2 linked regions of the Lytechinus pictus genome follow. The protein of the gene in region 1 binds, or shares a complex with, the protein of each later gene. Links are inferred from orthologs where the notes say so. Each region holds a gene or a part of one and is shown in the gene's direction. Other genes may lie near its edges. The genes, in order: apoptotic protease-activating factor 1-like and caspase-3-like.

Region 1 (16,953 bases):
ACTAACTCTAGATGAATTAGATGTAATTAAACTCGAATTGACAATAAAGGGTATCAAATTACAAAACACTAATGAAGCTGATGAATACTAGGGTACACATTTATTTTTAGGAGCATGAAAGGTAAGGACACCTAGAAAATGGCACTTATATCATGTATACATGTATAGAAACAATTTAAATTGTGATGAATGGAGAAGGAGAAAGGGATTATATATAATTGAGACGAAAAATTTAAACCAGTTGAGCTGTTATAGGATTTTAAGGTCGATTCATGTTTACTTTAAGTTGCTTATGAATATACTTTGAAATATCAATCAGTTATTAATCTTTTATTGAAAAAATGTGAAAATTGTAAAGTTGAAACTCATAATTATCTGTAGTCGTGACGTTTCACCCCTAACGCGCTTCCCGCGCGCCCTTCGGGAACCAATGCAAGTGGCGTTACAGTAGGCCTACTGATCTGGACGATCCAATTGGAAAGACGTGCTGGTGTTCATTCACCTGATGAAGCCAACAGAGGTCAGTGAAATGTCGCGACCACAGAGAATTATGAGTCTCAACTTTACAATTTTCATAAATTACCAGTGAAAGATTAATTACTGATTGATATATTTCAAGTTTACTGGATGAATCATAACATTCATGAATATAGTTTGATTTTGGTAACTCTTTGGATACGTATACTATTATATTATGTTACTGGCGTTTTGCGTCCACATGCCCTGCTTTAGCCAGTAAGGGCTGTAAGGCCAGTTTTTTTAATCGAAATTATGTACAAAATGCATTTATCTCATAATTTACACTGTTCCTTTATTGCTATTTGTTCAATAAAACAATTTTGAAATAAAAAGTTCTTACTTAAACTATGTCTGGAGATTATTGAAAAGATTAATGATTACAAAAATGCATAATATTAGTTAAAAATGTTTACTAGATCTATTTCAGGAAATGTAAATAAGGGACTGAAGCGTTTCCCTTCTGCATTCTACTTTAGAAAAAAATAATAAAAACATAGTGATATAGATATGTAGAGAATCATTTTAATGATACTGATATTTGTCATGAACTTTAGACATTGTAAAACAATTCGTCTTAGATGTATGTGTGGGTTATGCGTTGTTGCTAAAGTTGACTTAATAACTGACAGTCAGCAATCAAAGACTACGGTGCTTTATTAGAAGTATGGAAAAATATTAACTTCTGTATTAAAGGTTTGGCCATACAGTTGTGCTCAAAGTTAGTGAACCCCACCACAAAATGCACTCCTTCATAATTATGATGAGCTGAGTGTTGACTGTAAACAACAACACTGTGATGTTCGGCGAGCCAAGAGAAACAAACTTCATTAAATGTTATATATTAATTTACCATATCATCCGACTTCAATCTAAACGTTGCCGGAACTTGAACAATAATTATAATGTTCATTTTCTGATGGGATTCACTAACTTTTTAGCAACACTGTATGTCTATTAACTAATAACGAATGTTCACAGTAAAAAAAAATAGCACGTTGTTTAAGCCTGTCACAACAAGTTGTATAAACTTTTTAAACAATTTGTTTAAAAAGTTTAAACAGCAGTTGTTAAATCACATGCTTAAACAATTAAACAGTGTGTTTACAGTGTTTAATGTGTTGAACGTTAAAAGATACGTATTTTCCTCATTCAGGAACATAATCACATATTATAATTGTGTTCACAGTCAACCACTGTCAACCACATCTGAATATACCATGGGATGCTCAACTGTGCTTTGTTATTTTTTTTTCTCCTTGTGGAGAATTATTCACTTGAATATTAAAATCCATATTGTTCGAAACATAAATCTTCCAAAAATCCACTTTCCCCAATTCATCTTGGCCCTGGGAGCGCACTTTAGATCTTGAGAACTTTATTTTTATGTTACAGTTATTACACAAAATGTATTCCATGTGGTAAGCCTGCTAACTGTACTAACAAAATTTAATAAAATTAATTTAAAGGAATAAAAAAATGTTCAAAGAACGGATCTATATCGAATAAAATTAAATGAAGCATTATTACCTTCTGAATAACTCCACGAAGAAGACAATTTCAGTTCACTCTCGCGTTAGCCATGAAAACGATAATACTCAAACACTGGACTTCGATTTATAGTTATAGCTAGCAAAGCATCATGTTTGAAAGTCAATATTTCAAAAGGGGGCACCTCCAAGGTGATTTTGAAAAGGGGTGAGTAAACATTTAATTTTTCGGTGAGAAAATGACTGTACTGTAGGCAGGGGCGGTATAGGGAGGGGTACACAGGGGGCGACTAACACCCCAATATTTTTTTCTAGACAGTAGTGAAATCAAAATGAATAATGAGGAGAACATGGAAAACAAGTAAGAAATTCGAAGAATATAACTATAAAGATAGATCTGTGCCAGTCTGTAACTCTATATCCATAATCATTCATCATCTTTATGTTGTCTTGCTTGCCCCACCCCATCCTTTTATCAAATTATCCTGAAATGCTCCTCCCTACCCTGAAGCACGTAGGCCTGAGTTACATCTAATGTTTCCCAAAGGCCCTATATGCTAGCTCTAACTTTCTTCTCTTCCATCGCTACCTTTCCCCCACATTTCTTTTTATTTTCTTTCATCATCTGTTTGTTAAAGAAAGTAAGCAACCATACTTGGCCGTAACCCTTGCCCCGCGTAATGCAGACGCTGTAGTGTTTTACAAAGTATTTCGAAACTGGGTGCAAACATGTCTGTTTGACACATACGCTTTGCAGACGGGGAAAACAAACGAAATGATCAACTAGTTTTCTTGAAAAGTGATTTCTTTTACAATGATCCAATTCTTGTAAAGGTAAAGGTGCAATCTGAGCCAAAAATCTTGAGGGGTCAGACATGGCATATTTGGGAGAAAATCCTAAATAGCTGCGAGCGAGTGAAGCAAGCGAGTGATTTTGTTTTCATATTTTCAAAACAAAGCACTAATTTTTTAAATTGGCATAATATATATAAAATGATATAATTTTTACCCTTTTGCTTTCACTTTCACTTTGTTTCCCCCCCCCCCTTTTTTTTCTTAGTCGTGATTTTTTTTTTTTGGGGGGGGTCTATGGCCCCATGCCCCCCCCCCCCCCATCTGCATGCCATTAATCTGACGGCTAGTCTAAATCCTGCAGACTCAACAAGCTTTGTTTCTACACTCTAAAGCATATTGGGTAAAATGCTCCATGAGGGTAATTATGTGTCCAACCATAAACATTGAGCATTTTGGGGGGGTATTTTCATTTATCCAGTGTGATGAAAATTGTGCCCATTCTTAACCTTACTCGATTGCTTCCCGCATTGGGTAAAATACTGCCCCAGATTAGTTGGACACATAATTACCCTCGTGCTGGTTAAAATTTTTACCCAAATATGTTTTGCAGTGTATAATGCAACATGAACTTATATTTCACCAGTTTTGTTAAACAATTGTCTTTGATTTCGGATTTCTCTATGCTTTAATTTAGATGGATAATTTATTCCATGTCTGATTTCTTGAGTGTACGGATAGGCCTACCATATTGCATTTGTATTATGTTCATTTGGGGAGGACGTAAAGTAAGGTTATGAGTTCAAATTCAAAACTGGTTTCGAAAAAAGCAGAAAATAGGTCCTATATAATGTGTGAGTGGGGATTGATTTGATGGCGCTTCAGTGAGAAACTGACCCCCCCCCCATGATTTTACAAGAAATTGCAGCAAGAGAACATACGAGGGGCTGGAGGAAGAGAGAAGAAAGAAGAACATGAAAGGGATATTGGTTCTGGTTCCCGCGTTGCCAGTTCGACAAAATGTTTATAGGTGTCCCCTCCCCCTTTCTATGAAAATGTCCTGGGCCGGGTTGTATTACAATGTGATATGACATACAGTCTTTTTGCACGTACAGAAATAGAATCGTCCACTTCGATCAAAATTTATCTAATATACATGCGTATCCCTCCATAAGCATTTGCTTTTAAGGTCTTACGCCTTCTATAAACATAACATGTACAGTTTTATACTCTTCATAGCAAACTGATTTTTGTATGAATTTATGTTAACGAAATGTAGAAATGTGTGAAAAGGAAGAAAATAAATGTTTATTTGAATTGAATAAAGAAAAAAATGTTTCATAAACCGCATGTACGAATGTGAATCGGTTGCTGCGTGAGGTAAGATGACATGAGTTCAAATTTTAAAAAAAATTTATGTTGTGTATCCTATATGTTTACATGATGTAAATACTACATCTGTGCATTAGGCCTATGTAGATAAAGTAATGGTGATATCAGATATGTAATGAATTCGAGACATTCATTCATGAACCATTGTGAAATTTGAATTAAAAAAAATCTAAATTCATGCTTCATGACTATAGCTTTTGATGTCACAAATGTTGTCAGCCCTTATGGGAAAGATTTTCTTATAAATTAGAGATGATGCGTATTACTTTAATGCATTTATTGCCTTCATTAAAACGAATTAGATGCCAGTATGCGACCATATTATGTACGTAATGGTGTTCATCGCAAAAACAAATTAACAGAAATCTTATATTTTATATTTAAAAAGATGTTAATTCTATTGCATTCATCTCAAAAGATTCAAAATTCTTTTGTTGGTCAATGTACGCATACACAGAAATTTGGTTTCCAATGGCTTTAACAATATACGCAAAGATGAGAAGGGAGAATAAAAAAATAAAAAAACAAGTGCACACCTAGTTACCAAGAATGCATAAAGCACAATATTTGAATACAGGATAAAAGGGCATTGTCGATCAAATGCCATGCTCACGGGCATAGGTATCGCGGCCGGATCAAACCCCGGACATTTTGATATTTGCAGGCGCCCGTAGACCAATCGGCCACGGCAATGTATCCAAGAGACAAATATTTTCCTCTTCCCACTGGTACTTTTCTGATTTTTATTGTAGTAGTAGTTGAAAATGAGGGCGCTCTTCAATCTCTCCAGATTGGTTCCATGACATTTGCTCTGGCGACAATTGCTCCGCTCCAAATTCCACGCACTAATCGAATGACCAACTTAAACCCGAGGTTTGCACTATACCCTACCCTTAACCTAATCCTAACATAAAACCCTATTGTAACCCCAATTTATGCGTAATATAAAAAGTTCGCCTTAGTTAACTTTTGTTCAAAGACTCTTATATAGGATTCTGATGTTCTTAAAAGAAAATAATTGTGCGGCAGATTAATATCAGGAAAAATGTTGCGCGTGGGGAGGAGGGGGGGGGGGGGTGGATGAATTTCGTCTGTAGAGTTAGGGATCCTAACCCTAATTCAATATACATAAGCATAAGAAAGAATTAAAGAAAGAAAGCCAAAGAAAGAAAGAAAGCGGGTATTTTGTTACGGGGTGGTAAAACAACTTTTCTTAAACTGAGTAATTAAGACGGTAGAGGTATATACAGGACCCACCTATTTGTTTTTTTGCTCTCCATTTTCCCTTCCGTTTCACAGGTATTGGAATTGTCTAGAAAACAAATATAATTTATGTTGATAGATTTCTTTTTAGGCCCCTTGGTTGACTCTCGAATGTAATTATGTGTGATGAATTACTTCGAAATTGATTTTAGATTGAACTTGTAACTGGATTATTTTTAATAAAAAGTATACCAGTTCTCTTGAGAAAAAAAAACTAGGCAGCGTGCACAATGCATGCAACAATTCTGTGGATATTTTTGGAGGTATTTCTAATGAAGCAAAATATAATAGAAATATATATCATTGTTAAATAATCATGAAACTTAATGAAGAATAAACGACAATGTATAATAACAACAGCTAGAATAGACTTGTTTGTTATTTTGATGGGGGACCGAGACGGGGTCTCGGACCGCGGGCCGAGTTTTCCACCCATTTCGTGATTTTTTTGTTTTTCTCACAAATTTGCGTCAATTTTTCCATCATTTCGAAATTTCTTGGAACGATTTTCTGGTTATAGACTTAGACCAAAAGCTTCAGTCTCTGTATTCTGGTTGTTCCGCTGAACTACGTTGGCTCCACTCACCAATACATGAATGGGGATGATAGTAAAATGTCAGAAATTGTTGAATAAATCCCCAGAAACGACGGTTATTCCTGGCTAGGTTAGACTGATGAGACATCCCCTTTGAATTTGTGAAATTACCTTCTTCTTCTTCTTATGTTGGTTTGAGTGGCAATTAGTCATATTTGACTATTGTCGCCATTGACTTTATCTATAAAATCTCACTTCTCATATTATTACCAATATGATGTATACATTTATGAAATATTTTTATTGTGCATCCTTCTATTATAAAAATGATGAATATAGTATACCGGTCTACAAAAGTTTGTCTTAACTATTGTCAAAATGGCATATAAACAAATCTTCACCAAAAACAAACCGCTATCTTCAGTCCAGTTCCAACTAGTTGCGCTTGCCCCACTGAACTAGAGGTATCTAGTTCAGTGGCTTGCCCTGCCCTTTCTAAGATGCAATCATACCGGTCAGCACGGTACATTGTGCCGATTTTTCGGACATAAAAATGCCTAGGTCACCCATGCATAGACGAGGGGGCGCTAGTGTACCTGTGCTTACAGATGGGTTAAACATTAATATATATATATTTTTTTTTTACAATAACAACAACAACAACAACAAGGCGAAAACACTTGTGGGCTCGGTTAGTTAAAAGTGCAGAACATATTATATATACATATTATGTATGTATGTATATATATATATATATATATTTTTTTTTTTTTCACATAAAACTTTATATACGAGCATATCCTTTCCTATTTCTTATAAACAATACAATATAATAATAGCACATATCACTCCTTACTAAAACGTTTCGTTCTTGAAACGAAACGTAAAAATGCTTTCTGTATCCCTGGATCATCTTTTTTTAAATACTCCATTATTTGTCGAGGCTGTGATTCATTCAATTCTGCAAGGAGCATTGATCGTTCAATTGTATATTTTGGACAATGTAAAAGATAATGTCTGACAGTTTCTACCTCAGGACATCTATCACAAAACCCTGTTTGATGGATCCCTAATCTTAGTAGATCTTGGTTAAGACCAGCGACTCCAAAACGGAGACGATGGAGTACAGTTTCCTGTCTCCCTAGATTACATTTATATGTGGATAGCACTGATGGTTGCAGTTCTTTCAGTGCTGAGTTAGTTTTATTCCATCTTTCTTGCCAAATTATCTTACAACTTTTTGAAATAAGTTGCATAATTTCTGATAATGTTATTTGATTATGAATTTCTATTTTGTTTGATAAAGCTTTTTTTGCGCAGGAGTCTGCTATATTTCATTTCCTTTTATTCCACAGTGACCAGGGATCCACTCCAGGTATATCTCTATACCTTTATATTTGAGTCTTGTACTAATAGTTAGAATTTCTGTGATAATAGGATCGTCTTTCCGATTCTGTAAAGATAAAAGTGCACTTAATGAATCACTGAAATTAACAACACCTGTGTATATATCTAAATATTCTATCCATTCCAGTGCAAGAACCGTAAGTTTCCTCTAATTTCTCATTTTTAAGACACCATAGTCTAGCGATCGAGCGAGCAAAACAAAACAAGATTTGACAAGCAAGAGGAGAGCTTAAGTTTGACGTCACTTAACTGCTTAAGAGGTAAGATTGCCAGATTAAAAACTTTTCATATTAAGAATTCGTAAGAGGTTTGATTATTTGAAGTGTAATTTAATAAAATATGAGATTTCTGAGCATGACCTTCAATGATTTGCCTTGCTTTGGCTTTGCGTAGCATACGGCTAGTTTCTGCTTCCCAACTGAAGCGTCGCGTCTGCGGGGTTCGCGTCTGCTATCGTAACTCGTCAAACTTCGACGCCTGACCCGCCCGCAGGGAGAGAATGATTGCTGACTGGCACACCCACACCGCCGCGGACATATGGATTGCCTGGTCTGATAACATGGATAAGGCCAAGTAAAAAAAGATAGTATTAGTAGTAGATCGTCCGGGTTTTTTGAGAGCAGTGATGAGGGAGGTCCTTACTATTTGCTATCTTACTATTTTTTTGAAAAACAAGGAGACATTTTCTCGGCCCGTTTTTTACATTGATCATGTGTCTGACTCTGTCTCTGAGTCTGACATGACATGATGATGATGAGGGAGGTCCTGGTCACTCCTAGTACCAATGAGGTCCAACATTACATGTATGGACCTCATAGGCGACATCAGTAGTATTTTGTGTCAGAAATCTTTGTGAAGATGATTATTTTTGTATTTTATCAAAACTACAAGCTATCGTACTGTCTAATCATTACATTTCGATCTCACTAATTGAATACATTGTTAGCAATAAAAAAAATTGAAAGAAATGAAGGGGAACTTACATTTTCACGGCTTTTTCCTGATTTTCTGGGCAACTGCTCCTCTCTTCTGACTCGCGATCGAAGCTGATATGAAGATCACGTGATTCGCGTTCTCGTCAGCTGATCGGTTGGTTATTCTTTTCGTCAGACGTTAATAATATATATTTTATAATGCTAGCATTCATCGCTAATTTAGGTGAAAGAGATTGAAGTTAAACAGCGCCAGGTCGGAATCATAATTATTTTGGAAGAGTGTATTTATACACTCGATCTCATACCTGACGTAGACGGCGCTATTCAACAAATGCACAATCTTCAATATAAAAATAAAACAGAAAGAACGCCTTGAACACAGGCCAAAATGCCTAACGATTTCTCCGCGGCATTAACAACTATCGTAAAGGGCGCTCCATTTATCAATAAAGATGGACGCTAAGCTGTCTATGGCGACAAAATTTGCCGCAAATATTTACGAAGAATTGTGAGAAATGGTCTGAAAATGCAACAAAAGAACCGGTGAGTACCGATTAAACATTATTAAATTTATAAATAGATTATACATACCTTGTAGATTTAGTTTTTAAGGTGATATTAGTGCTTAGTTCTAAGCTAGGGAGGCCCAAACGCGCGTGAGTGGAGTCCCAGTTTATTAGCACGGGTAAGTATTGGGGTGTCGCCTAGAGTGGTCCTGGTAAGAGTTCCATGTGCACCCCCCACTAAAATTGAAAATAAAAACATGCAGAAGGTTCAGAATAATATATCTAGCCCTAATATCGAACATATATGATGGGGAAGTGGAAATACATACCAAAATATGGCTTTATTCCGTCAAATTTCGAGCGAGATCTTGTGCGTGTAATTGTCCATAGACATCGGTTTATTTAGTCAGTAAAGGGTCTGCGAGTCAAGACTAGTCGAACTATCGGCTGATAATCGTAAAAATACCCTTTCCGGTATCAGCGCTTCTCGCTAGCATAGCGGGAAAGGTCTTGACTGGAGATCAAACGAGGTGAGTTCGAGTCCCAACTAAGGTAAGCAACAGTAAAAAAATGATAGAAAAATCTGAAGTGAACGAACCGGAAGTCTCAACAATCTTTTGTTATTTTTGGTGGGGGGTGCAAATGGAACTCTTTCCGAGGTCCTTACTATTTACTATTTTTTTTGCTATTTTTTAATCAAATGATTGTCAGGACATGTCAGGCTCGATTTATGTGATCGATGCATGCTCAATATTAATGATAAATGAGTAGAAACATATATATATCTATATATATGCATATACGATTAATTGGAAATCTAGCTATGGAAAATGTATGGAATAAAAATCTATTAATGTATCAATATATACCGGTACTTTATTATTGTAAAAAAAATGTTCATGTCAAGTGAATGATTTAATCATTCTACATTATGTAAGGGTAAAAAATGCTTGGGGGGTCGCTTTTATTACCATGGAGCCATGTTTAGTTTTCCAGAGCCAATCTCTTTCAGCTCTGGGCATGGTTTCGCTTCAGTTTAGTTTCCAGCTGCTTGTATATTCGTTTACATAATGTTCAATTTTTATTCATTTTTTTTATTGATATCAAATGTTAAATGATTATTGAATTAATTGTTCACATAATGTTTATTATTTCAATATTTGTTAGTGTTTACAGATCCATTTACTAACTAATTTTTACAATTGTCCATCAAATTGAATAGCTCAAGGAAGAATGAAGTTTATCAAATTTGAACAGAATTGGCACTGACTGGAATCCCATTAATGATTTTCAATCTTGATAATGAATAACCCACTTGAAATTGTTTTTTGAATATTCAATGCATTGCCTGCTGACGTAAGAAAACTTGCCAGAAAATTCAATTCATTTCACAAATTCACATGTCGCGCCAGCACAGTCCATCACATCATCCCAGCACACATGCATTCACCCACCATAGTCACAAGCACAGCTCATTCACCGTAACACACATCGAAGTACAGGCGCTATCACTCACCAAAAAACCCCGCTGAAATACAAATTACGTCATTAAAAATAAAATTGATTTATCTGCGCCATATTTCCAAAGCACGCGACGGATTAGTTCAGATTTAGGAAGCGGGGTCCCCGAAAATGCACTAAAAATGAAGAAATCTGTGATCTTTTCCGAGTTTGCAAACTTCTTCTTTTTCTTATGTTGGTTTGAGTGGCGATTAGTCATATTTGACTATTGTCACCATTGACTCTATTAATAAAAAATCTCACTTCTCACATAATGATATTATTACCAATATGTATACATATATATATGAAATATTATTCTTGTGTATCTATTCCTAATATGAAAAAGGATAATAATGGTATGTACAAAAGTTTGCCGTAACTCTTGTCAAAATGGCAAACTTTATTTTCTCGTTAATTTATATGATTGTATCTTCAAAAGTACCAATAAAAAAACAAATCAGAATTTTTTTCTTTCTTGCAGTTATGGCGATATCAGACTTTGCAATTGTTCTATGAGATAATGAAGTTGCGAGAGAGATCCCAGAGTACATGAGAGCAAATCGCTCACCAATCTTGTGAATTTTTTTTGCTTTTCAGCGGCCATAAGAATAGTAAATATCAAGAAAATTGATGCGGCAATCAAAGAGAGAAGCAGGCGCGGACGAGAAACATCACTTTTTTTTTTTTTTTTTTTGCCAATTTTTTGAAATAGTAAGTGGAAAAAAATTTTATGCGGCGGCCAAGATAGATGCGCGCGAGGAAAATCAACTACTTTCTTTTTTTACTTGGCCTAATATGCGTGACTCACAAACGAAATTCTAAGGAGCATTTTATTTTCTTGTGTCATTCTATCGCGCATGGAGGCTTCTGGAGAGTAATAGACCTAGCACCTAGTCACTTCATTTCATTTAATTGCTCAACTCAACTGATTCTTGCTTCAAATTTTCAATTCAAAACTTTAAAGTCTAAAACTAGATTCATGGAATACTGAATAGCAAGTGATGCATGATGTCTGACTCTGAATCTGATAACATTTGCTTTCTTCAAGGCTTCAGCCTTGTTAAAAAAAACATAGAGTGAATTATACCTAGAATAGATCTACTTCAAATCAATTAGGTAGGGTCTAACAATGAACATAAATAAAATTTTGGCATTCTCATACAGCATGTACAGTATAGATATATGGACTGCTTTGAGAGGCATGGTTGTTTCTAGAGGCTCAAGGGGACCGCAACGCGACTATGCCCAAGGGCATTGTCTGGCCAATGTGGTACCCGCGAGCCGAAAGAAACAACCGTGTCTCGAATATAAAAGCAGTCCATATATAGTCTAGATCAGGGATTCTCAAATGGTGGCGCGCGCGCCACTTGTGGCGCACCGAGCCTTCCGGAGTGGCGCGTGGGAGCCGGTATAGAAAAAGAAAAAACATTAGAAAATAAAAGGTTGATCTACTATTAATCTAGAATTGAGGTTTGATCCTTTAATCACAAAGGGAAAATAAAAACTCAGCTCTTTTTAAAATCTAAATGCTATTTGATTTCCTCTGATTTTGTGTAATCTAGCATTCGATAACCCCTATATTATGGAGGATCTATTTAATGTATTCATTTACGATTGGTACAAAGACTATGTACATAATATGTGAACATAGATTTGTGAACAGTGCTTTTAATAATAACAATGATAATCATAATTACGTTTTATTTACTCAGGGTAGCCATTTCAGTTAGGGAACTGCAGCGGGCCCTGCATTTCCATGTATGTTATTACTACCCTTCTCTAATTTAAATGCTGAGCGCCAAGCAAGAAGGCAGAAGGTTCCATTCCTATATATATATATATATATTTTGTATGACTCTGTTGGGGATCGAACCCACGGCCTCCCGTTCATGAGGCTGACGCTCTACCACTGATCAACATACCCGGTTTGCTTTTTAAACACGACCCTCATCAAGAACAAAATTTAATACAGAAACATAATAATTAACGCTAATTTGAGCAAGTCACTTATCATTTTTTAAAATAAATTGTGTAGTATGTTGGTATTTTTATATCTTCTGTTGATTGAGAACCCCTCTCGGCCATTTAAAAGGCTTTCTGCTCTTCAGGTGGTCCTGCATCCCCACCATACCACAATATTTCGCTCTTCGCGTGTTGGATAGTGGAGCAGTCCAGATTCTCAACAAGAAATTTGGCGCTTCAACAAAATTAATTGAGAATGGCTGGTCTAGATCTATAAATATCTAGATCTTAAACAAGTTAGGCCTAAAAGCCCTAGGCCCCAGGCTAACGTTAGGGCCTAGGCCCTAAGTTAGCCCTGCCCCTGACGTTAGGTCTCGAAGTCGAATATCAAAGCAGTCCATACGGTACCGGTAACGTTAGGCCTAACGTTACATATTTTAGGAACCAAATTAGGGTCTGAATAGATCTAACATTAACAATTTTAGTTAAATCTCCATTTAGAGTCTAACAATAACAGATCTAACGTTAGATTTCTATTTTAGACTATGTCAGATCTAAGAATTTAACAAAACATTAGGCCTAGGTCTAGATCTAGAGTCTAGACTCTACTCTTAACTTCTGAGCTAGCTAACGTTAGGCCTAGATCTAACGACAACGCTGTCATTAGATCTAGACCTAACGAACGTTGTTGTTTGTCTTACCTAACGAGTAATAGGCCTAGGCTATAGAAAGTGCAGTGGCCGTCTTATCTTTTCACCCGACTCACCTTTTGCGAGCATGCATTTGAACGAACAACTGCAACAAGACTTGATGATTGATACATCCGTTATGTCCTTAATAAGTTAGTCTTCTTTTCAATAATGCCATATTTTTTAGCAAAGCAAAAGTCAACGATCGGCATCGTTCCATTGATGTGTCATATCCGTATGCGCAATAAGCGCGTAAATACGCGAATTGTCTAAAACTTTTGATCAAATCGCACGGATATTTATGGTATCCGCAATCACCGCAGAAAGCAACATTTTGCATGCAATCAAATGGGGATCTCAGCCAAATTTTGCTATGCCCGTCATTAAGGGGCTGGTCAGGGGGCAACGGGCAGAAATCTAGTTAACTATGCCCGTTGCCCTTGGTTACCACCTTAGTTTGTTGTTTTGCAGGCATGGTCGTTTACATGACCTCAATTTTGACCAATCAGAGGAACGGATTATTCGACATTCTTAAGGAGAGGTTTATAATGTACTTTATGTCCCAACAAACTTACCCAGTGAAAAAGACGACCTTTCTCCGTCGACCCAAATTATTGAAAATAGTATTACTTTTGGCTTACAAGGTTTAGCCAAATAATGCCAGTTCCGGATGTAGTTTAAATCAGCTATGTAGTTTATTCAACATATTAACACAACTTGGATTGAGAGGTTTTCTGATGATTGCTGAACGAACAAATTTTTAAGCAATTATAAAACTGACTATTTGACTCATTCAAATATTTTTGTTTCATGAGGACAATATGATTCATTTACCGGTATCTCTTTTGTTATCTGTTACATGCTGTCCTGGAGAAGAAAGAGAAAACCACAATGATGATTTAAAATGGGAAAATGTCCCTCATCACTTTTCACTTCTACCCCTCTTGGAATATATTAAATTGTGAGAAAGCACCTATAATCAAGTAGCCAGATTCAAATAGTAATCCCATATTTTTAAAAGTTCCATATCCCCCTTATGAATTGTCCAAATTCTTTCACAGGTTGACCATTATATTTTTCCAATATTTTTGCTTTCTCACAATTCATTATATTCCAAGTTTGGATCCACCTTAATTACATTAAATGTAGATCTATATCTGCACATAATTTTCTGAATTTTACTGAATCTATCTACATGTACTGTATATGATTAATGATTTTATTTGACAAATTTTTCAGAATCAGTAATGGGGGACGCAAACATGGCACCCATGATGGAGCTGGCGAGGTTGAACTTACGGCGTCACCGCCAGTCCCTCATCGATGATCTCGATGTGGAGTTTATTTCTGATCATCTCATAGCCGAAATGGTCCTAGAGATCGATGATGTGGAGCTTATCATGTCAAAGGTATGGTAACATTATTCAGAAGTTATTTTCATATTGTAATAATTATAATAATAATTATAAAGATATTATACTAATTAAATAATTATTTATATGATCTATTAAATAATTATTTATTAATATAAAAAAATTGTAATTAATATTTTTATTATAATTATTATTAGGATTAGAATAGTAAACAAAAAACTTTCAATGAATATTCTTTGATAATAAGAAAACAATGACGAAAGCAAGACAAGGGGGTATGGGCTATGGGTTTCTGTAGTCACAAGTTATAACGTATCAATCGCACAGGTGTAGTTAATAAGCAGCAAAGATTTATGGCTTCTGCCTCCGCCTAGATTATACACTGGGGGCTTTACGCGGAATAGGCCAGGGGAAGGGGGGGGGGCAACTAACTATAAGGAGTCCTGAGAAGATTCATGGTGCAAGATCAATAGTGTAATACCAGGCCGGGGGGGGGGGGGAATTGAGTCTTTGACCGACGATGAATTGAGGGGCTTAGGAAACGTGGTTAATCAATGAAAAAGTTGTGAAAATGATATGCTTGGGAACTGCTGGCAAGGGGTGAAAGGGGGGGGGGGGGGCTTTAGGGCAGCACATTCCCATAATGCCATTATACATGTACATGAGTGCCTCCCCCCCTCGAGTCCCCACCCCCCCCCCCCCCCCTGGTGAATAGAATTGCCCATACATGTAGGCATGTCATGAACATGTCATACAGCGTATTGCATTACATTAAATTACAAAAAAATAATGTGAAACTGCAGCTGAGATTCTTGTTTACTGAATGTTCTTACAGTATGTAGGTGTCATCTGTCAATATATGGATACTGGTAGTCTGCAGGCACAGACTCTGATTGGTACTCTAGTCAATGAATGGGTAATTGTAATATGAAGTTGAGCTTAAAACTTCTAACTTGCCGCACTATCAGGCAGACTACATGTAAGAACTAAAATCATTAATTTCGGTCAGCAAGTAGGTCTTGATTAAAAGTCTAGCATAACTTTTATCTTGCTGCACTTGGGCAAGCCAAGACTCTAATTGGTGCTTTAATCAAGTGAGTCTAGATTAGGACAAATTTTAGCTCAAATCTTACATGTAGGCTTCTTGTAACTTGCTGCCTAAAGCAGGCCAATAGAGTACCCGAAGTGTGATTTCACGATTTCATGACAACGAACTGGCTGGTTCTAAACAGAGTCGCAGCTGACGATTGTCTATACACATTTGTATTTGCAAAAATGGTGATGTGCTAGAGAAACACGCGCTATACAGTGCATATCAAAAAAAGTTTACACTTAGAAAAATCCTGTAAAATTATACATAAATAATATCCTGAAGATTTTTCCACATTTTAACATTGGTACAGATCCATTTAAGCGAATGACGATATAACTCAAAAATATTTCCGCTTGAGTGAGCACCACTTACTTTGAAAAGTTAGTGAAAAATTATTTGCGCAGAACTTTGAAATAGTTATGCGAATAAAAGTAGACCTTAAACATGAAGAACACGTGGAATTTAGCAAGTAAAATTGATTTGAAGATATCTTTTACCTTTTTAACTTGTTTCCTTGCCCAAAACACTTCGAAGAGTGCATTGTGCCCCACCCCACTCCCCCACACATCGAGGCCATCGTGACGATATTTGCTTTACACTGAGCTGTGATTTACATGAAATGGCTTAGGCTTGATTTTCATTTTGTTAATCATTGTCAAGCTTGGAAAAGTGTGGAGAAACAAGTATTAAATGAAAAATGAAATGTAAACCCACTTTAAATAATAAAAACTTAGTGAAAAAATGCTGGAGATGTCTGATATTAGCTATTGTTCAGATTCAGTTACATGTATGTCCTCATCCAGCTGGCACAAAAAGGGTAAAGGTTGTGCTTACTAAGTGTTGAAATTTCAATTTGGTTGGCAAAATTGTTACAAAATGCTTGAATGTATCCGTTTTATTCCAATTGACTAAAAGTGCAAGGGAAATGTATGAGAAATGTTTCACAGGGCAAGTTTGATTTCGCCCTTTCCCCTTGACAAAACAAGAATTTATGTGCAAACAGATTTCTGCGAGCTTTATAAAAATGGACAGTGCTCACTCTGTAACATTCTGTCAAAACTTTTACTTTCATTGGATAGATGAGACCCAAACCCAAGATTATATGTGAAAAAATTATCCACATGTTGTATATTTTTTAATTCCCAGGGCTTTTTCAAAGTGTAAACTTTTTTTTGATACGCACTGTAGAGCGATATGAGCGAGTCGCAATACTTCCGGATGGGTGTTTCATAAAGCTGTTCGTAAGATAAGAATGACTGGCGATCCTTTCTTGTGGTAAATGGTATAATAAATTAGGGAAGGTTTTAATAGCGCATAAGAAAGGATCACCAGTCGAATAAAGTCGCTCCTAACTTACTACAAACAGCTTTATGAAACAGCCCCCGGGTTCATTTGTTTAGAACCAGGCCGCCATGACACCATGGAAACTGACGTCATCGCTTTGGTACTCTATACAGATGTATCCAAGAAACTTGTGTGTCTTGACTATTACAAGTC
Region 2 (17,430 bases), on another chromosome or scaffold:
GAACGGAGTTATTTTGAGATATGATATTTCGTAGGAGGTTTTCTACACTTATTAAGCAACTTCTGGGGAAAAATGAGATTGATCGGTCGAGTCATGCATGAGTAATTAAAGATTGAATTAAAAATGACCATTTTTGAAAGTCACAAGAGTCGTTTTTCAGATTGTGCAAATACAAAGTTGGGCAAAAGTTGTTTTTAGGTGAATTTTATGGTGTTATGCTGTTTTACTATCCATCATTTAGCCACTCCACACACGATTTTGATATCGTATGTTCATGGTTGAGTGAGCACAATATCGCAGGGGCCGCGGAAGCGAGGTGGGGGGCCCACTTTTTTTTCCAAAAGCATGTACAAAAATGTAAAAATGACCATACGATTGTGATTTTTTGCATGGTCAGTGGGGGACTTTTGGCTCAGCCCCTCCCCCACACTTTGAAAACCATTCCGCGGCCCCTGTATTGTGACGTATCATCATAGAGTTTTTTTGGTAGTATCGTCTACAACTTGTTAGGTCATATTAGAATTTGAAAATGTTGGTGGCTCCCCCGATTATAGGCCCCTCCCCCATTTTTAAATTCTGGATCCACCACTGATTTGTCCATAAATTAAACTGATCATGATAAATTGTTAGGAAAAGAATACATTTATGCAGTATAAAGAGTATTCATTCCCAAGTTTTCGAATGTGCTCGCTCAACCATGAAAATGTTAAAAGTTCGGAAAGTGTGTGGTGATAGAAATGATGGATGATAAAAACAACAGCAATTAAAGTCACATTTGAAACCGAATTTGCCCCCAATATTCACCTTATTACCCTTTAAAATGAGTCTGTGACATTGAAAATACCCATTTTCCCACTTTGATGCGTGCTCACTCATCCGTAAATAAACAAATCGATTTCATTTTTGCACAGAATTCTGCCCATAGGTTGATAAACATTACTGCCAAATGACATTGCTAAAGACAGCCTTGAAAAAAAGTTTCACCATATTGAATAAGGGGTTACTTATTCTTAAACATATGCACCCATAATGTACACAAGTCTATGAGAGATGAAGTCAAAATCTTAACAAATATGAAATAAGGGGTTTGTTTCATGGACGGTTTTTGTTACTTCTGCCAACAGTTATTTCATGAAACTTCGCACATGGCTTCAGAGTAACACTATCCAAAAGGCGCGCACACCAAAATAACAATTCGATACGGCACAGAGTGGGGCCAAGGTCTTGAACTTTCTTCTCATTTGCATAATTTTCGAATATTGTGTGCTCGCTGATGCATTAAACATCGGGATTTTCATAAAAATCAAATCAAATGAACTATGCAAGGAGGTTTGTGACAGATATCCATAGTTACAAATTGCATTTTTTCCAATAACGTAAAAAAGAGCTAATCACATTCCACATGTTCATTCAAGCGTGGATATTTAATTAAACGCCTTTGAATCATTGAAGCATGTTAATTGGTCATGAACATAACGAAAAAGTTGAGAAAAGATCATTTCCAGTTACCGAAATGAAACAATACTTGCCTATGATATTTGAAAATCGTATTTTTTGTTTTCAATAAATGTTCATTGAACCGTGAAACGATGAATATTGTTGAAGATACTCTTCCCAAAAATAACTGTCATCATATTCTATCATTTTTATTGATGAAAATGTGTAAAAAATCCAATTATAGCAAATTTGGACTTGTGTTTATTCAACCGTGAAATTTAGCCAAAAAAATTGTATCGTCTTTTAGAAAGTACCTTTTACAAGCCTTCTGACTGTTTTTCATGTTGAGAATGTAGAATCAGTTCCAATAAAATGGAATCAAAGTCGTGATTTTTGGCTTGTGACTTTTGAAAAGTGACATTTTTGCCTTCCGACGGTGCTCACTGAAGCATGACGTAAAATACGTCCATAACATTTACTCAGAGGGTAGCTTATAAAATTACCTACACGCTCATGTAAAAACATATCAAAAACTCGCATTGGTTCGGAAATTATTGATGTTTGTTCAAGGGGGGACTTACTTTTTTTGTTGTGTATATAAAAAGAAATAGTTGATTTTCACCAGTTTGTTTTGTTAAATATATGATCACAAAAAGGTGCTTGACCCCCCCCCCCCTCCCCTCCCCCGATCAATATATATATATATAGGCCTATATAAACTTAAGTTTCATTTTGCACTAATGCCCTGGGCACGATTTTTTTTATTAGTTTATTTATTTATTTTTTTGTTCAAACGACGGAAAGTTGTTCTTAAAAAAAACATATGCATACACATAATAATATGAATGCAATAATAGATGAATAATATTCTTCCTTCACTTATTCCTTATTACTCTACGTTGCGGAATTTAAAATACTCAAGTGAAAAAATATATTTTCTTTATAATCAGGCCTTCTAGTGAGGGCCAAACATTCAGGACCCTGCATAAGAACGAATGACTGGGTTGCTGATATAAATCTGAAAGCAAAAAAAAGGGGGAAAAAAAGGTTTACTACAAAATGAAGGTCATTTTGGTTACATTATTTCCATTTTAAACATCTCCCAGAATACCTGGGGGTGCTGCCTATGGAATAATACACGCAGCACCCCTTTGGCATTTTTTTTTTTTGGGGGGGGGTGCTTCAGTACCCCCGCTTCCCAGGGCCATGGAAATATCGGCGCTATACCATCTGTCGCTTCCTCGAAAATAATGTCCAACGGCAGCCTCAGTAAATCGAAACTAAAGTGATTGGTTTGCAATTTACAGTTAAAGCCAGCCTTATGGTCAGGGGCGGAAATCTCTCCCAAAAGGTAGAGGGGACACAGGGGCGGATCAAGCCTTCGCCAATATAGGGGGGGGGGGCGGCGGAAATTTTTTTCAGCCATAATTTCCCCGATCGGCAGCTCGACTCAAGATGATTTTTTTTTCTTTGAAGGGGTAGTCCTCATTAGTCACTTCTTAGCTTTATTCTTATAAATTGATACATAATATCATAATCCTTATTTATATGATGCGAGCAATTTTTTTGGAAATTTTATGTTTTTTTCCTAAAATTTGAACATTCTGGGCAATGTTTGTTATCCTGAAAAAGATGTGTAGGCAACTTAATAATTACTACGAACGCAAAGCGCGAGCACAAATGAACTGATGGAAAAGATACCTGTTAAAGTAGCATTTAACTATCAAATAATGCGAGCGCGAAGCGCGAGCTAAATTTTTTTTTTACTTTTTCACCTAAAGAATGGAAATTTTAAGCACTTTTTGTAACTCAAACAGAATAAGTATATAAGTAAACAATTGATGCGAGCGCGAAGCGCGAGCGGAAAATTTCGAGATTTAGTCCTATAATATTTACTGAACGAGACACTCTATTCATGTTTTGTAAATCATGAAAATGATGAGTATTAATAATGCTAGCGCAAAGCGCAAGCAGAAAATTTTTATATACGTTTTGAACTGGTACCTGATGAAAAGGTAACTGTTAAGGACTGCTTGCACTTAGCCATGAAGGCGTTACATATTTCAACAATAAAAAAATGCGAGTGCGAAGCGCGAGCTGAAAAATTTTGAACTTTCTAAAGAAAGAATGGAAAATTTTAATCAGTTTTTGTAATCGTGAACAAAATAGCTATATAATTTAATAATTGATGCGAGCGCGAAGCGCGAGCAGAACAAAATCGAGATTTAGACCTAAAAATGGGCCACTCTGTTCATGAAAAGGATGAGTAATATGGGGTCTTCCTATACATTATAATGCGAGCACAAAGCGCGAGCAGAAAAAAAATTGATTTTGTGATCTGAAACTGGATAATGATTTAAATAGAGGACAAGTTGAGTATCTGAATAAACATGCGCGCGCGTGTTTCATATTTAGACCTAGAATCTAGGCATTCTAAATGCATCTTTAATCATGAAAATCATGAAACTTTGATATTCCGATCTGAAAAAAAGAGTCAATTTCAGCTTTATATTTCAAGCACTTTGTAGAAAAATTGTAAGGTGGATATGGATTGCACTTAAAAAAGAGCTGATAATTTCATTATTATTACTCTGAGTTTTGACATTGGACCGGGACATCCTTACGACATGTCATCATATGAAAATGATGGCTATCTTCCTATTCCTCTTGCTAAGCGAGATGAAACAAAAGGGACAATTTTGATTATTAAATTAATATCATATTTATCAATGCCTAATGAGGGCGCGAAATCTGATGATATTATGGCATAAAAACTGGACATTTCACTTTTGTGATTATGAATAGAATGCATCAATTAATATATTTTAACCATTAATGCGAGCGCAAATCGCGGGCTAAAATTTTTGATAAACTGTTATGAAAAGGGGATTTTAAGTAGTTTGTTGTATAATCAATATTGAAACATATATAACTCGCCAATCAAAATGCGAACTTGCAGCGCGCTAGCTGATACGTCTTAACAATCAGACCTGAAAAGGGATATACACGAAAATAATAGATACCTGATAAATCAAAATTTGCGAGCGTGCAGCGCAAGCAGCGAATGTTAATATTCAGACCATAAAACTGACATTTTACAGAGCACTTTTTAAAAATCAATTTGTAAATCACACAAAATAATGAAAGTTCGATTTCCGAGGTGAAATATGTTTTGTATATTGACTTCCAAACTTGACATTCGAGCTCCATACCGAACAAGATATGTAAGTCATCTAACAGGCAATGCGAGCGCGCAGCGCGAGCGAAAATTTTATATAGTGGCACGAAAGATTCTTTTTATTTTCCAAGTCTTCCTCTCATCTTATTTTATGCACTCGTCGTCGTCCTTCTCTTCTTTTTCTCCTCTCTTTTCCCTCCTTTATTCCTTCTTTCTTTCCCTTTTTTTCTTTTTTTTTTGCTCCGCCAAGAGGGGAGGGGGGGGGGGTGGGCCCCTCGGCCCCCTGGTCCGCCTACGGGGACAAGGGGCGGGAAAATTTGACAAGCAAAAAAAAGGTTATCATCCCAAAAGTAAGGTCATCTCGTCCCAAAATACATGTTTTATTTCGATTTAGAATGATGTATTTCTTACCATCATAAAAGACCAAAAATAGTAGGGGGGACATTTGATATTGTGTCCCCCCTACTATTTTGAGTAGGGGGGACACGTCCCCCCTGTCCCCCCTGGGATTTCCGCCCATGCTTATGGTCTATCCCGGGGGGCCACTTACATTGACGAGTGGATACCATGCGCGACCAAGAAAACACGTAAAAAGGATGTCTTTTTTTCAAGATAGGGCACGTTACGTACGTAACGTGATTAGGGTGTCAAAAACACAAAAATAATGAAAAAAGGGTATCTATTTCGCTAGGAAAGCTACGTGTTTAGGGTCACATTTGCGGGGATGATCAAACAAAATTAAAATGTTGTATAAAGGATGTCCTTTTTGCCCCAACACTACGTGTTTAGAGTCCCGATTTGCGCGAGGTGAGGAAGGTGGGGCCATACTAAACCAAATGGTGTGTAAATTAGATAAAACCGACGACCGCCGGACCCGTGACACAACAATAAAATATCGCTGTATACTTGTTTAGGGGTTCATTTCAGGGAATACTTGCCAAGAGTATAGTTTTGTTTCCAATGCTTGTTAAGGGTAGGGTTTCAGACGCCAATATACTTGTTAAGGGGTGCATTTTCAGAACATGGAAAATACGTGTTTAGGGTGCTTTTCGAGACCCCGTGGTCGCGCATGGTATCCACTTGTCAATGGACCCCCCCCGGTGGTCTATACATCGAAATTAACCTTTAAACTCCTTCAATCAATATTAAATTCACTGTATTTCGCATACTAGGGGTTTTGTGCATACACACGATAGACATTTTGAACCCTAAACTAAACACTTGTACAAACCTTTTGGGGTGTAATATTGCACCCAAACTTAAGTGGAAAAAGGTGCCAAAATACACCTTTCTGTTATTATTTGCACCCAGAATGCTAGTTTGCACCATAAAAGGTGCAACTTTTCACCTTTTAAAGTGCGTAATGCTTAACATTAAAAACAAATGCAAATTTGAATATTTAATACATGCATGGTTCAACTCATCTTTGGTGCACAAATAAGCACAATTACACTCACTGGGTTGCTGCTAAAGTACCAATTACCCCTATAGGATTCAAATTTGAACCTCTTAGGCCCGTATTCTGAAGTCGGGTTTAACTTAAACACAGGTTTAAAGTTGTGGTTTAAGTATGGCGAGCCAATTGTTACATAAATCACTAATAGTAGAGATATCATACTTCAGCTCATTTGGCTCTCAAATCATTCATAATTGTCTAGGAAGTATAAAAAGATTATTGGCTTCACCATCGATGAATCTGGAAAGAGCACAGTAAACATAAGAAGCATACAACTTAATAACAAATTTGATACTTTTGGCTTCCCATACTTAAACCACAACTTAAAACCTGAGTTTAACTTAAACCCGACTTCATAATATGGGCCTTAGTGTGCATGTAAGACCGCTCCGGAAGATGAAGGAGCAAACGAAAGAAAGAAGAAAGACTTAAGATTCATTGGTTCATGTCATTATCAATTTTAATCATAGGCCCTATAAATAATAAAATACATATAAATAAATAAGCAAACAAGAATACCTGATGATCTATCAGCTGTAATATCGATACGAACGAAATTAATAAATATTTTTTTAAATCAAATAAGAATCATACACAATTGAGTGTATGTTGAAAAAAAATTATACAATAAAGATACCAGCTAAGAAACATAGCAGCGCAGGAAGTGTATTATGAAGAGCTCAGTTGCAATAGGGGTTAGGTCCACTTTTCATCAAATTTGATTTGTTTGTCTCAATGTATAGATTTTAAGTACCTCTATAAGATGATACCAAAGAAAAGTTGAAATTCCCATCAAAAACAAAAAATGGCAAAGAAAAATATTTTTTTTTTTTCAAAAGGGGTTAGGCCCATTTCAGTTTGGTTTCAAAACATGGACCTGGCCATGGAGGATTTGTTACTGGGGGTACTGTGACAATGCTAAGCACCGGCCCAGTAACAATCCCTAATCCTCCGTGGATAGGTCCCTGTTTCAAAAGGGCTAGTTTCACAAAGAAATGTTTTGGAAAAGAATATTTAAAACAATATGAAGACAGGTAGATTTCTTTTATACCCAATTTTATGTTTCATGGTAGGGTATCATGAAAATTTAGTGTCGCATAAGAATATTGCAATATGGGAGAATAATAATAAAAAATGATTTTCTTGGAGTGGACCTACAACCACTTTTGCAACCAAACTCTTCTGAAGAGCTCAATCGTCAAAATGGGTTAGGTCCATTTTTCGAAAATTTCATTGTTTTCTTTCTCAAAACCTATAGATTTTTAGTCGCTCTGATGATACCAAAGAAAATTCGAAATTAATTAAAATGTGAATTAAAGTGGCAAAGAAAAATCACTTTTTTATTCAGAAGAGATTGGATTCATTTAAGTTTGCTTGCAAAACGGGTTACATGTAGGTCCACAATAATAATCAAAAGTTTGAAAAAAAAATTTACAGAAAAAATGAGGACAGGTAGACAGTACGATGATACACTACCTGAACCTGGTGGACTGTACTTTAACGGATGATGATGATGATTTCTTTTATACCCAATTTTATGTTCACATGATAGTACGTATAGCCTACGTATCATTGCAGTAAGTGAGAATAAAAAAACATGATTTTTTTTTTCTCGGAATGGTCCAAAGTGAATCAATAAGCAAATGAACGACAGTGGGAAGGGGTCGGGGGGGGGGGGCGCTCAACCCACGGAGAAAGAATGAGGTACAACATTAAGAAGTGCGGTGGACAAAGGAAAGGAATATATTGAAGGAAAGGATAAGGGGAAATACAGTATGATGTCATTGTCTGTCGAGTATGTTAACATTTGTAAAAGTTAGATTTTCATGTAGGCCTCGGGCTATAAAAAAATCTTTTTATAAATTAGGTTAATCTAAATGTTATTTTACTTATTTCGTATTGTTTTGTTTTTGACAAGTTAAGTTATTTATCTCGCCTCATTCAGATACTAGTAGTTGCGAGGATAATTGTGAAATCTTTATCATTCTAAGAAAATCTTATCCAACGCAACGCGCAGCCAGCGGCCGGGGAAATCCCGAGCGATGACGTACCGTTTCGCGGCATCTTTTTCTCACACATATATATATCTGAGCTGAGCCGACATTACAATTATCTTGAAAGAAAAGGTCTCCAAATTTGTAAGTAATTCGGTATTATGTCGTTCTTCTTATTTGTTGTTTAGAAACAAGTGTCATTATTGTACTTTCATTATTAACGGTAACCTATTTGTTTCAATTTGTCGAAACGAAAAGGAGAGGAGTCGCTCTGAGTCTGACTGTCTGACGACTGGAGTTGACTCACTAAATATAGTTTCACTGTGAGGTGAGTATATTCGTACCGGGCCCAACGTATGTGCAAGGCCCGTTTTTTAGCACTTGTGCAATTCATATTATCGTATCACGGAATTATGGTATCCTCGTAGGGACATGGGTGTATAAGCATCGCACGCGCCGTGAAATGAAATTACTCTTTTATAGTTTGGACAGTGTTGGGGCGGTGGCTGTTCATATTCTTGCTATTGATATGATACTTGTTAGAATTCAGTGCAGCATGATTGATACTAAACCCTATGAACCTATAGGACTAGAGTCTATGGATCATTTGCAGATAATTGTGAGGAGTGATGATTGTTGGCAAAAAGATAAGACAGCCGTCTGTTTCAAGCAAGCCTTGAAATAAAGCAGCTGCAGACCAGGGGCAATTTTTCAAAAAAAATTGCCCCCGGCTCACGGGCTTTTTACAGGAACCGGGGGCAATTAAAAAAATATATATATAACGGTGAACCACACCGCAAATTTGTTTATAGTAAGCGCAGCTCTAGACCAAAAGCTTCGGTCTCTGTTATGTTGGTTGTTCAGCTGAACTCCGTTGGCTTCACTCACCAAATACAGAGACCGAAGTTCTAGCGCGATCTGTACAGGGGACTCAATGGCAATATGTTTATGTACTTAAGATCGGATAAAACGGGGAAGTGAATTTGCGCGACAGCCGAGGTAAGTCACTGTTTTTGTTCCTTTTAACTTGATTTTTCTCCGTTTTTTGGCAATTAATGCCAAGAGGGAATATTAATTTGCATTTTGGTCGCCTTAATTTTCAAAATTTTTATTCATTAAAGACAAAAATTGAAGGTCCCCGACGGGGGGATTTTGCATTGCAAGTCCCCTAATGGTGGTTGCACGCTAGCGAGCCGTCTGTGTACGAGGAGAAATTAAAATAAAAAAAAAGTTAAAAAACTCCTCGAAACAGACGGCTGCCAGCTGTCTAGCGCAGCTCCTGCAATTTTTTAATTAGTACATGAATAGCATGCTAAGAATTGGGGTTATTCAAACATTTAAGAAATCAGATTTTAAATAAATGTTAAAGTGTGTTTTGACACCCTCACTCCACATCCCCTTTACAACCACACACACATGGGCTTATTTATTTTTCATCTTTGATAAACCGCGAACAATGAACCCTCCCCCCCCAAAAAAAAAATCTAAATAAATGAATAAATAAAAATATAAAAAAGAGAGAGAGATGGAGAAAGAGAGAATTCAGATCAAATAATAGTAAATTTAGAAAAAATTAATAATTGTTAAGGTTTTTTTCATGGTTAGAATCACGGGTGTGGGTGAGTGTTTGTGTGTGATTGTGACTGTGAGGTGCACTTGGATTGCATATAAATTATGTTAAAGAAATGAAATCAATATCTAACTCAGTCTATTCAAATTCCAGCACATAGCCACAGGCTATGTATGTATTGTAGGTTCATGTACCTTAAGTTTTTCACAAGTTATTTGAAAACGCAGATCTCCACAGAAAATGCCTTTCATTTTTGGAGAGTCTAAATTCGGTGAAAATGTATTCACTAATAACTTAAATATTCATCACAATGAAGAAATCATAAAGTTTTTTGACAGTTTTCAAAAATTAACATGAAATCTAAACTCTATCTGAAATGGAAAATCACCATCACTTGGGCCATTACTGATAAAATTCTCACCCAGAGCTCTGGCAGAGAACATGAGCTCAAACTGGATAGCTAACACCACACTCAAGTGCACGGCGTCCTATTTTTTTTTAGATGGAGCCTTGTTTGATGATTTATTGTCTGATATTTACCCCTCTCCAAGAAAGAAATTAAAAAGCTATAATTCACAACTATAAGCTAAGTGATTTTGGATTATTAAGGCTCTGTTTTGACAAGCAAAGTCGGCGACTGAGGATAAAAGACTCGCATATCGTATGTGCTGTGAATAGGGATTTATCTCCTGTGCAATTCGAATTACTATATCGCAGAATTGTGATATCCCAACTGGAAATGTGTGCTTTAGAAATTGCACATGGTGAAGTATGGAAAAACCGCTACCGGAAGCACGCGCGCACATGTATTACAGAAAAAAAAAGACGGACGTAGCTCACTTTTCATGGTACAGAAAAAAAGACGCACTTGGAAATTTGAAACTGCTTATTGTAAATTGAAAGTTACTTGATTTTGGCTTTTCAGATATTTAAATTACATGGATGATATGGCTTCACTGCTCACTCACGGCGGGCGCAATTACCTGGAAATTATTTGCGCCCGGTCGTCAAAATTTTGATGATTTTGGGGCTTTATGGGCGCAATTTATGGGCGTAGGGTTATTCCTTGACTTCTCAAAAGCGTTTGATACAATAGATCATGAAATACTATTATGTAAGCTATCAAATTACGGTATCAGAGGGACAGCTTTACAATGGTTTAGGAGTTATCTTACTGATAGAATTCAGTTTGTTACAGTAAATGAATCAGAATCTCCAACAAGGCCAGTATTCTTGGCCCTTTGCTATTTGTACTTTATGTTAATGATATGAAAAATTCATCTCATGTTCTCTCATTGATTCTCTTTGCTGATGATTCCAATATTTTCTTTACACATCATGATCCACATGTACTTGTGAGCACTATGAATGCAGAATTTAAAAAAGTAACAAACTGGATTAAAGCCAACAAACTGTCATTGAATCTGCAAAAAACTAATTATATGCTTTTTAGTCATTCATTGAAACATCTACCGCATCAAATACTTTTAGATAATACTGAAATCAAAGAAGTGCAAACAACAAAATTCTTAGGTCTTACTATTGATCACAAGCTTATGTGGAATGCTCATATCAACAATATTTGCAAAACTGTGGCAAGAAATATTGGAGTCATCAATAAGCTTAAAAACGCTCTTCCAGCACAGGCGCTATCCATGTTGTATTGTGCATTAATTCTACCATATCTTAATTATGGAATTCTGGCATGGGGTAATGCCTCTCAAACGAGACTCAATAAAGTCTTGCTACTTCAGAAAAAAGTACTGAGAATAATATGCAATATGTCCTTTAGAGCTCATACAGATGAATTGTTTCGTCATAAACGTATCCTTAAAGTCAATGACCTGTACCGCTTGCAACTATTCCAATTCATGTATAAGCTAGATAGAAATAGTGTACCTAATGTCCTACAAAAGAAATTTATGAGAAACAATACTTTACATTCATATAATATGAGACATTCAAATGACTATCACTTACCCAAAAGTAGAACAGTATTTTCTAGCAAAACTGTATTTTTCACAGGACCAAAACTCTGGAATTCTCTGGACAGAGTAATAAAAGAGGCAGCTAATCTAAACCGATTTAAATTACTCATCAAAAAAATTATTCTGAATTCTTATTGATTCAATCCAATATTTTGTGAACCTCATACTTACCCACGGTAGTATTGATTGTTTTAAAGTCAATATTTAATTTTGTATATAGTGTAAATACATTTGTGTTACAGTGTTTATATATAATTTTATAGAATTTTGCTGATTATTTTACTCTACTTATATCATATTACCCTTGTATAAAATTTTGATAGGGGGTCTACATTTTACAAGCTTTGCTTTTTAGTAGGCCCCTCCACTTTTTTCATTTCATTGCTACGTTTCAATCCTGTGTGTTATGCATTTTTTTCAGTGTTAAAATGATTTATTATAAATGTACTTTGATGATTGTGGAATATGAATATATCAATAAATAAATAAATTGATGGCTTTATGAGCACAAATTTGTGCTCAGCGCCCGCTTATTTCAAGGCTTGGTTTCAAGGAGTTTTTTATTTATTAAAATATTAAAGGAGAATTAAACTCTTGGAGCAAGTTAGCTTTTGTGAAAGCAGAAAAATCAAAGAATAAGATCAACAAAAGTTTGAGTAAAATAGGACTAGCAATAGAAGAGTTATGAGCATTTGAATGTCGAGATCACTAATGCTATGAAGATCCTCCCATTGGCAATGCGACCAAGATCTATGATGTCACAGATGAACAACTCTCCCCTTTTGGACACTGAAAATATACCCCAAAACATCTCTTTTTGCTCATTCTAATCATATGACAAACGATTCATCAATGATATAATGTTGTGAAACCTCTGTACTTGTCCTCTCATAAAGAGAACACCTCACCTTGTGATAGACTCTATAAAAGTGAGAATATAAGTGAAATAAGTACTAAAGTAATGAGGGAGTTGTACGTGTGTGACATCACAGATCTTGGTCGCATTGCCAATGGGAGGATTTACATGGCATTAGTGATCTCAATATTCAAATGCTCATAACTTTCTTATTATTCATTCAATATTCCTCAAACTTTCAACAATATGTTTCTTTGATTTTTCTTTTTGATATGGATTCAGCTGGTTTCAAGGGTTTCATTCTCCTTTAATATTAACATTTTTTGTTCATTTCTTGTACACAGACGGCTCGCGATTGTGCAGCTGCCATTAGGGGGTTAACAATACAACCCCCCCCCCCCAACTAGCCAGGAAGCTCCTTTCACTAATGTGTACTTAGTAACTTACTCTCCACGGAGCCAAGAATTGTGTCCCATTCATGTGCGTGTACCGTGAAAAAAGCTGAAATTATCACCCCCGAGATTTCTACTTTCCTTCTAAAAGATCTAGCCCTAAATGATGGGATACAACTTCATTTCCGACATTAATACGATGTTGATTTCATTTTTAAACAACAATTCATAAAAAACCGAGAAAAATATTTTGAGAAGACCGAAAAAAATTGACGATGTTTACGTTGCCATCTTGTACTTTGTTTTTTGCCAAGCTACAAGACGCATATCCTCCTGTTGCAGCGGCAACGCCATGGCCTTTTCTAATTTTTAGCTCGTCCGGCCCGAAGGGCCAAATGAGCTTATGCCGTGGCGTGGCGTCCGTCGTCTGTCGTCCGTCCACAATTTCAAAATGCTACTTCTTCCCAATTTCAATTCTGTTTATATGATAGCACTAGGTGGGGATTCAAAACTTCTACACAGAATTTTGAAATTATTGCTAATTTATGCGCATTTTTCAAAATTCACAAAAAAATGCTTCTTCTTTATTTGTTGACCGATTTTGAATTTGTTGCTTCCATCTGGTAGAGCTTCATGAGGTTCACCAAACTTTTACACAGAATGTTGAAATTTTGACCAGAACAATTTTAATGCTTATTTATGCGAAATTAATTTACCCGGTATGCATATTTTAAAAAATTCACATAAAATGCTTCTTCTTTATTTGTTGACCGATTTTGATTTTTTTTCTTCCATCTGGTATAGCTTCATGAGGTTCACCAAACGTCTCCACAGAATTTTGAAATTTTGACTAGAACAATTCTTATGCTAATTTATGCGAAATTAATTTATTCATATTTTTGAATTTTGAAATTTTAAGTAGAAAATTATTTATGCTAATTTATGCGAAATTTATTCATAAATCACAGAAAATGCCTCTTCTTCATTTGTTGACAGATTTTGATTTTTTTTCTTCCATCTGGTAGAGCTGCATGAGGTTCACCAAACTTGTCCAGAAAATTTTGAAATTTTGTCTGGAAAATAATGCTAATTTATGCAAAATTTATTCATAAATCACAAAAAAATGTTCTTCCTCATTTGTTGATCAATTTCAATTTTGTTTGCTTTATATGATAGCTCGAGATGGTGATACAAAATTTCAACACAGAATTTTGAAATTCATTAAATATGCTAATTTATTTATATATTTTCAAAACTCACAAAAATTATTTATTTGTTGATTGATTTTGATTATTTTTGTTCCATCTGAGAGCTTCATGAGGTTCACCAAGGTTCTACACAGATTTAAGAAATTTTGTCTAGAAAGTTATTTATGCTTAATTTATATGAAATTTATTCATAGATCACAAAAAATGATTCTATGTCATTTCTTCATCAATTTCAATTCTATATCCTCAATTTATGTCACCAATATAATTCACTACAGTGTCAACTGGGCTGAAATTAAAATTGTGTTAAATTTTGTTGCGAGATGCCGGATGAGATCCACATCATTGATGTGCTAGTTTTAATATAATTGATATAGGCTTTCCACTTTTGCTCTCCCTCAATAAAGCAGTATCCCACAATCCGTTGCTGACGTGGCTGTCTACTTTATCTGTTATGCCTGTACTTTTCTGTGGTTGAAATGCTTGTAATTTATTTGATTTTGTTGGACATGATATGGGTGATGGAGTCTAATGAAGTCCAACATTGGCATTCTTTTTCCTTGAGACGTGAGTGATAGGTGACAGGGATAGATCTAATTATCCTGGGACCTGTTTCTCAACACCATAAGTCTAACTTCTTGACTAAATCAGAGTTACTGTAGTGGGCTACTTGTCCGCTAATTGTTTCACGGAGCCCTCTTTGCTAAGATTCGGACTAGCAACCTGACTATTAAATGCAAAGTGTCCAATGTATACAAATCACTCCGCACCGTAGATGACCTCTTCGATGTAGGACATTAACATTCTAATTGACCTAATAAATTTGTTCCTAAAATATTTGTAAAATACTTGTAATTTTTTCCAATGGATGAAATACTAGATGATATAAATGAGTCCGTTGTGTAGCTATACAACTTGCGTAACCTCATCTAGAGCAACCCTTATTGATAATATATTTACTGATTGTGTTCAATACAATTTCTGTTCAGTAATATTTTGTTCTGTTTTCTCTGATCACATGCCAATTTACAGCATTAACAAAGTCAAAGCAATCACTACTAGTAAAGTAAAATGTTTAGACGTGTTATTACTGAAGGACAAGTCCATCCCAACAAAAAGTTGATATAAATAAAAAGAGAAAAATCCAACAGGCATAACAGTGAAAATTCATCAAAATCGGTTGTAAAATAAGAAAGTTATGATATGTTAAAGTTTTGCTTAATTTCACAAAACAGTTATACGCAAGTCCTGGTCGGATTGCAAATAAGGAGACTGATGACGTCATCCACTCACTATTTATTTTGTATCTTATTATATGAAAAAGGAAATATTCTAATTTTCTCACTGTCAAGTGAAACAACAATTGATTCCTCCCTGAACTTGTGGAATTAGCTGTGCTATATGATTCTGTCAATGTGGTCCTTATTGACAAATCTGTAAAAAATGAAATATTATATAATTCAAACAAAAAACCAAAATAAATAGTGAGTGAAGGACATCATAACTGTCTCATTTGCATGTCACTGGATTGTGCATATTAATGTCTTGTGAAAAATAAGTGAAAATTTAAAATGTGATAACTTTCTTATTTCACATCCAATTTTGATGAAATTTTCAGCATTATGCTAGTTTGATTTTTCTTTATAATTGTTCAAATTAACCCTTTTCTGGGGTGGACTTGACCTTCAAGAAAGAATTGATAACTTCAGACAAGATCTTAACATAGATTGGTCTAGTTTATATAATTTATTTGATGCCAATGTTTACTATAACTAGTTTAGTGACATTTTTTTCAAAGTTATATAATTTACATTTCCCTTTGATTGAATTGAGTGGTAAGAATAAATGTAAGAAGCCGTGGATTACCCCTGTTCTTCTGAAATCCATTCATAAAAAGAAAACGCTGTATTATATATCTTCCTTTGGTTTTTTTATGTTGTTATATTAAGGGGGCCCCCTTCACAAGCTCTGCTTCTACATGTATGAGGTCCAAAACCTTTCATGTTCTATTCTTTTTGCCAACCTTTGTACTAAATATTTGTATTTTATCACCTGATAGGTTTGAATAAACTTATATCACTTGTGATATTTATGACACCTCCGAAGGCCGAAGCTGTCATAACTTCTTTCGTAATGACCATGTACATGCATAGTAGAGCCCTGTGAATGTGGATAGATTATATACAGTTGAGGCCAGAAGTTTAAATACACGTACACCAGGGAAATTCGAAGAAAAGTTGACACTTGCCAAACATCATAAAATCTACTGTGTCTTATAAAATATGACAAATTTGATATCAAACAAATATGTAATGTATGTCATGCCCCTTCATCACATTGCTTTGTCATCAGGAGCTGAAAAATATTTAGGTGTCATTTTTCCCCCCAAAATCTTCGTATTTCAGACAGATTAATTACATGTAAAAAGTGCCTCAAAATTTGAAAACTAATTATCTTACATAATCATATCATAGAAGTTGAAATTACATTGCAAAACAAGTGGGCTAGATCATTCAATATTGTAATGCACAGAAGCTATAAAAACTGTTCGGTTAAAAAGCCACAAAAACTGTTATCTAGAAATAGTAAAATAATAAAAAATAATATATAACTTAAAACAATTTATGTTGCACTACTTTGATGTTTGGAATCATAAAAATTGGTATCGTTATAGTCATTTTACAAACTTATTATGTAATTCTTTATAGCTAACTTCAGTAAACTATGAAAATATGATATCCTGTGGTACCCATCTCAGCGTCCACATGTGATTTTTGTGTCATGAAATCAATTCATAATTTTATTTTCTCAGCAATGGCATGCTCTAGCCTTCATGGTTTAGGTATGTATCAATGCATATCTTGCTTCAAATATAATTTTATTTTTTAATTTCCCAATTCACTACAATAATTTCAGTGTTATTACTGTTTTTCTTTTTGAAAATTTGGCTATTTTGTAACAAAGGCTACGTTTCATCTGCTGAATTCTGATGATAGTATCATCATCAAGGAATTGTAGTTGGGAAGCTTTTCATAAAACAGGTTTAGTAAGATTGGAGCTAATTCCGTGGTTGGCGGATAAAGATATAACTAACTTATCCATGGTTTTCAGAGATGAGCCCCTGAGGGTTAATTTATTAATTTCTGACATTTGTTTGTTTGTCCTTCCCACCACATAATCATAGATGGTAGTAGTAATCAGCATGTAATGAATGTAGGCTCTATGTCTGCACCTAAAATAATGACTTTCTTTCACATTCTACGAAAATCTTCATACTAGTATAGTGCTGTTTATTATATTGCGCCAAAAATCTCATCCAAATTAAAGCAAAAAAAAAAGAATTTGTTTTAA

What was found.
Region 2: the proteins of apoptotic protease-activating factor 1-like (region 1) and caspase-3-like are in contact, whole or in part, in a crystal structure (PDB 4RHW), measured with the Homo sapiens proteins. The link is inferred for Lytechinus pictus from reciprocal best matches to the Homo sapiens genes APAF1 and CASP9. Residues at the interface, in NP_863651.1 of Homo sapiens: Thr22, Ser23, Tyr24, Met26, Asp27, Ile30, Ser31, Ile37, Glu40, Glu41, Arg44; in NP_001220.2 of Homo sapiens: Asp23, Trp26, Asp27, Leu30, Arg36, Pro37, His38, Glu41, Gln44, Arg45.

Annotation. Positions count from the first base shown.
Region 1 is NC_087253.1:17,655,226-17,672,178, reverse strand, and holds the start of apoptotic protease-activating factor 1-like, read left to right. Parts: upstream 1-7,567; 5' UTR 7,568-7,655; intron 7,656-14,229; 5' UTR 14,230-14,237; coding exon 14,238-14,399; intron 14,400-16,953. UniProt on the Homo sapiens protein: Oligomeric Apaf-1 mediates the cytochrome c-dependent autocatalytic activation of pro-caspase-9 (Apaf-3), leading to the activation of caspase-3 and apoptosis. This activation requires ATP. Isoform 6 is less effective in inducing apoptosis.
Region 2 is NC_087258.1:6,428,216-6,445,645, reverse strand, and holds the start of caspase-3-like, read left to right. Parts: upstream 1-8,115; 5' UTR 8,116-8,209; intron 8,210-17,430. UniProt on the Homo sapiens protein: Involved in the activation cascade of caspases responsible for apoptosis execution. Binding of caspase-9 to Apaf-1 leads to activation of the protease which then cleaves and activates effector caspases caspase-3 (CASP3) or caspase-7 (CASP7).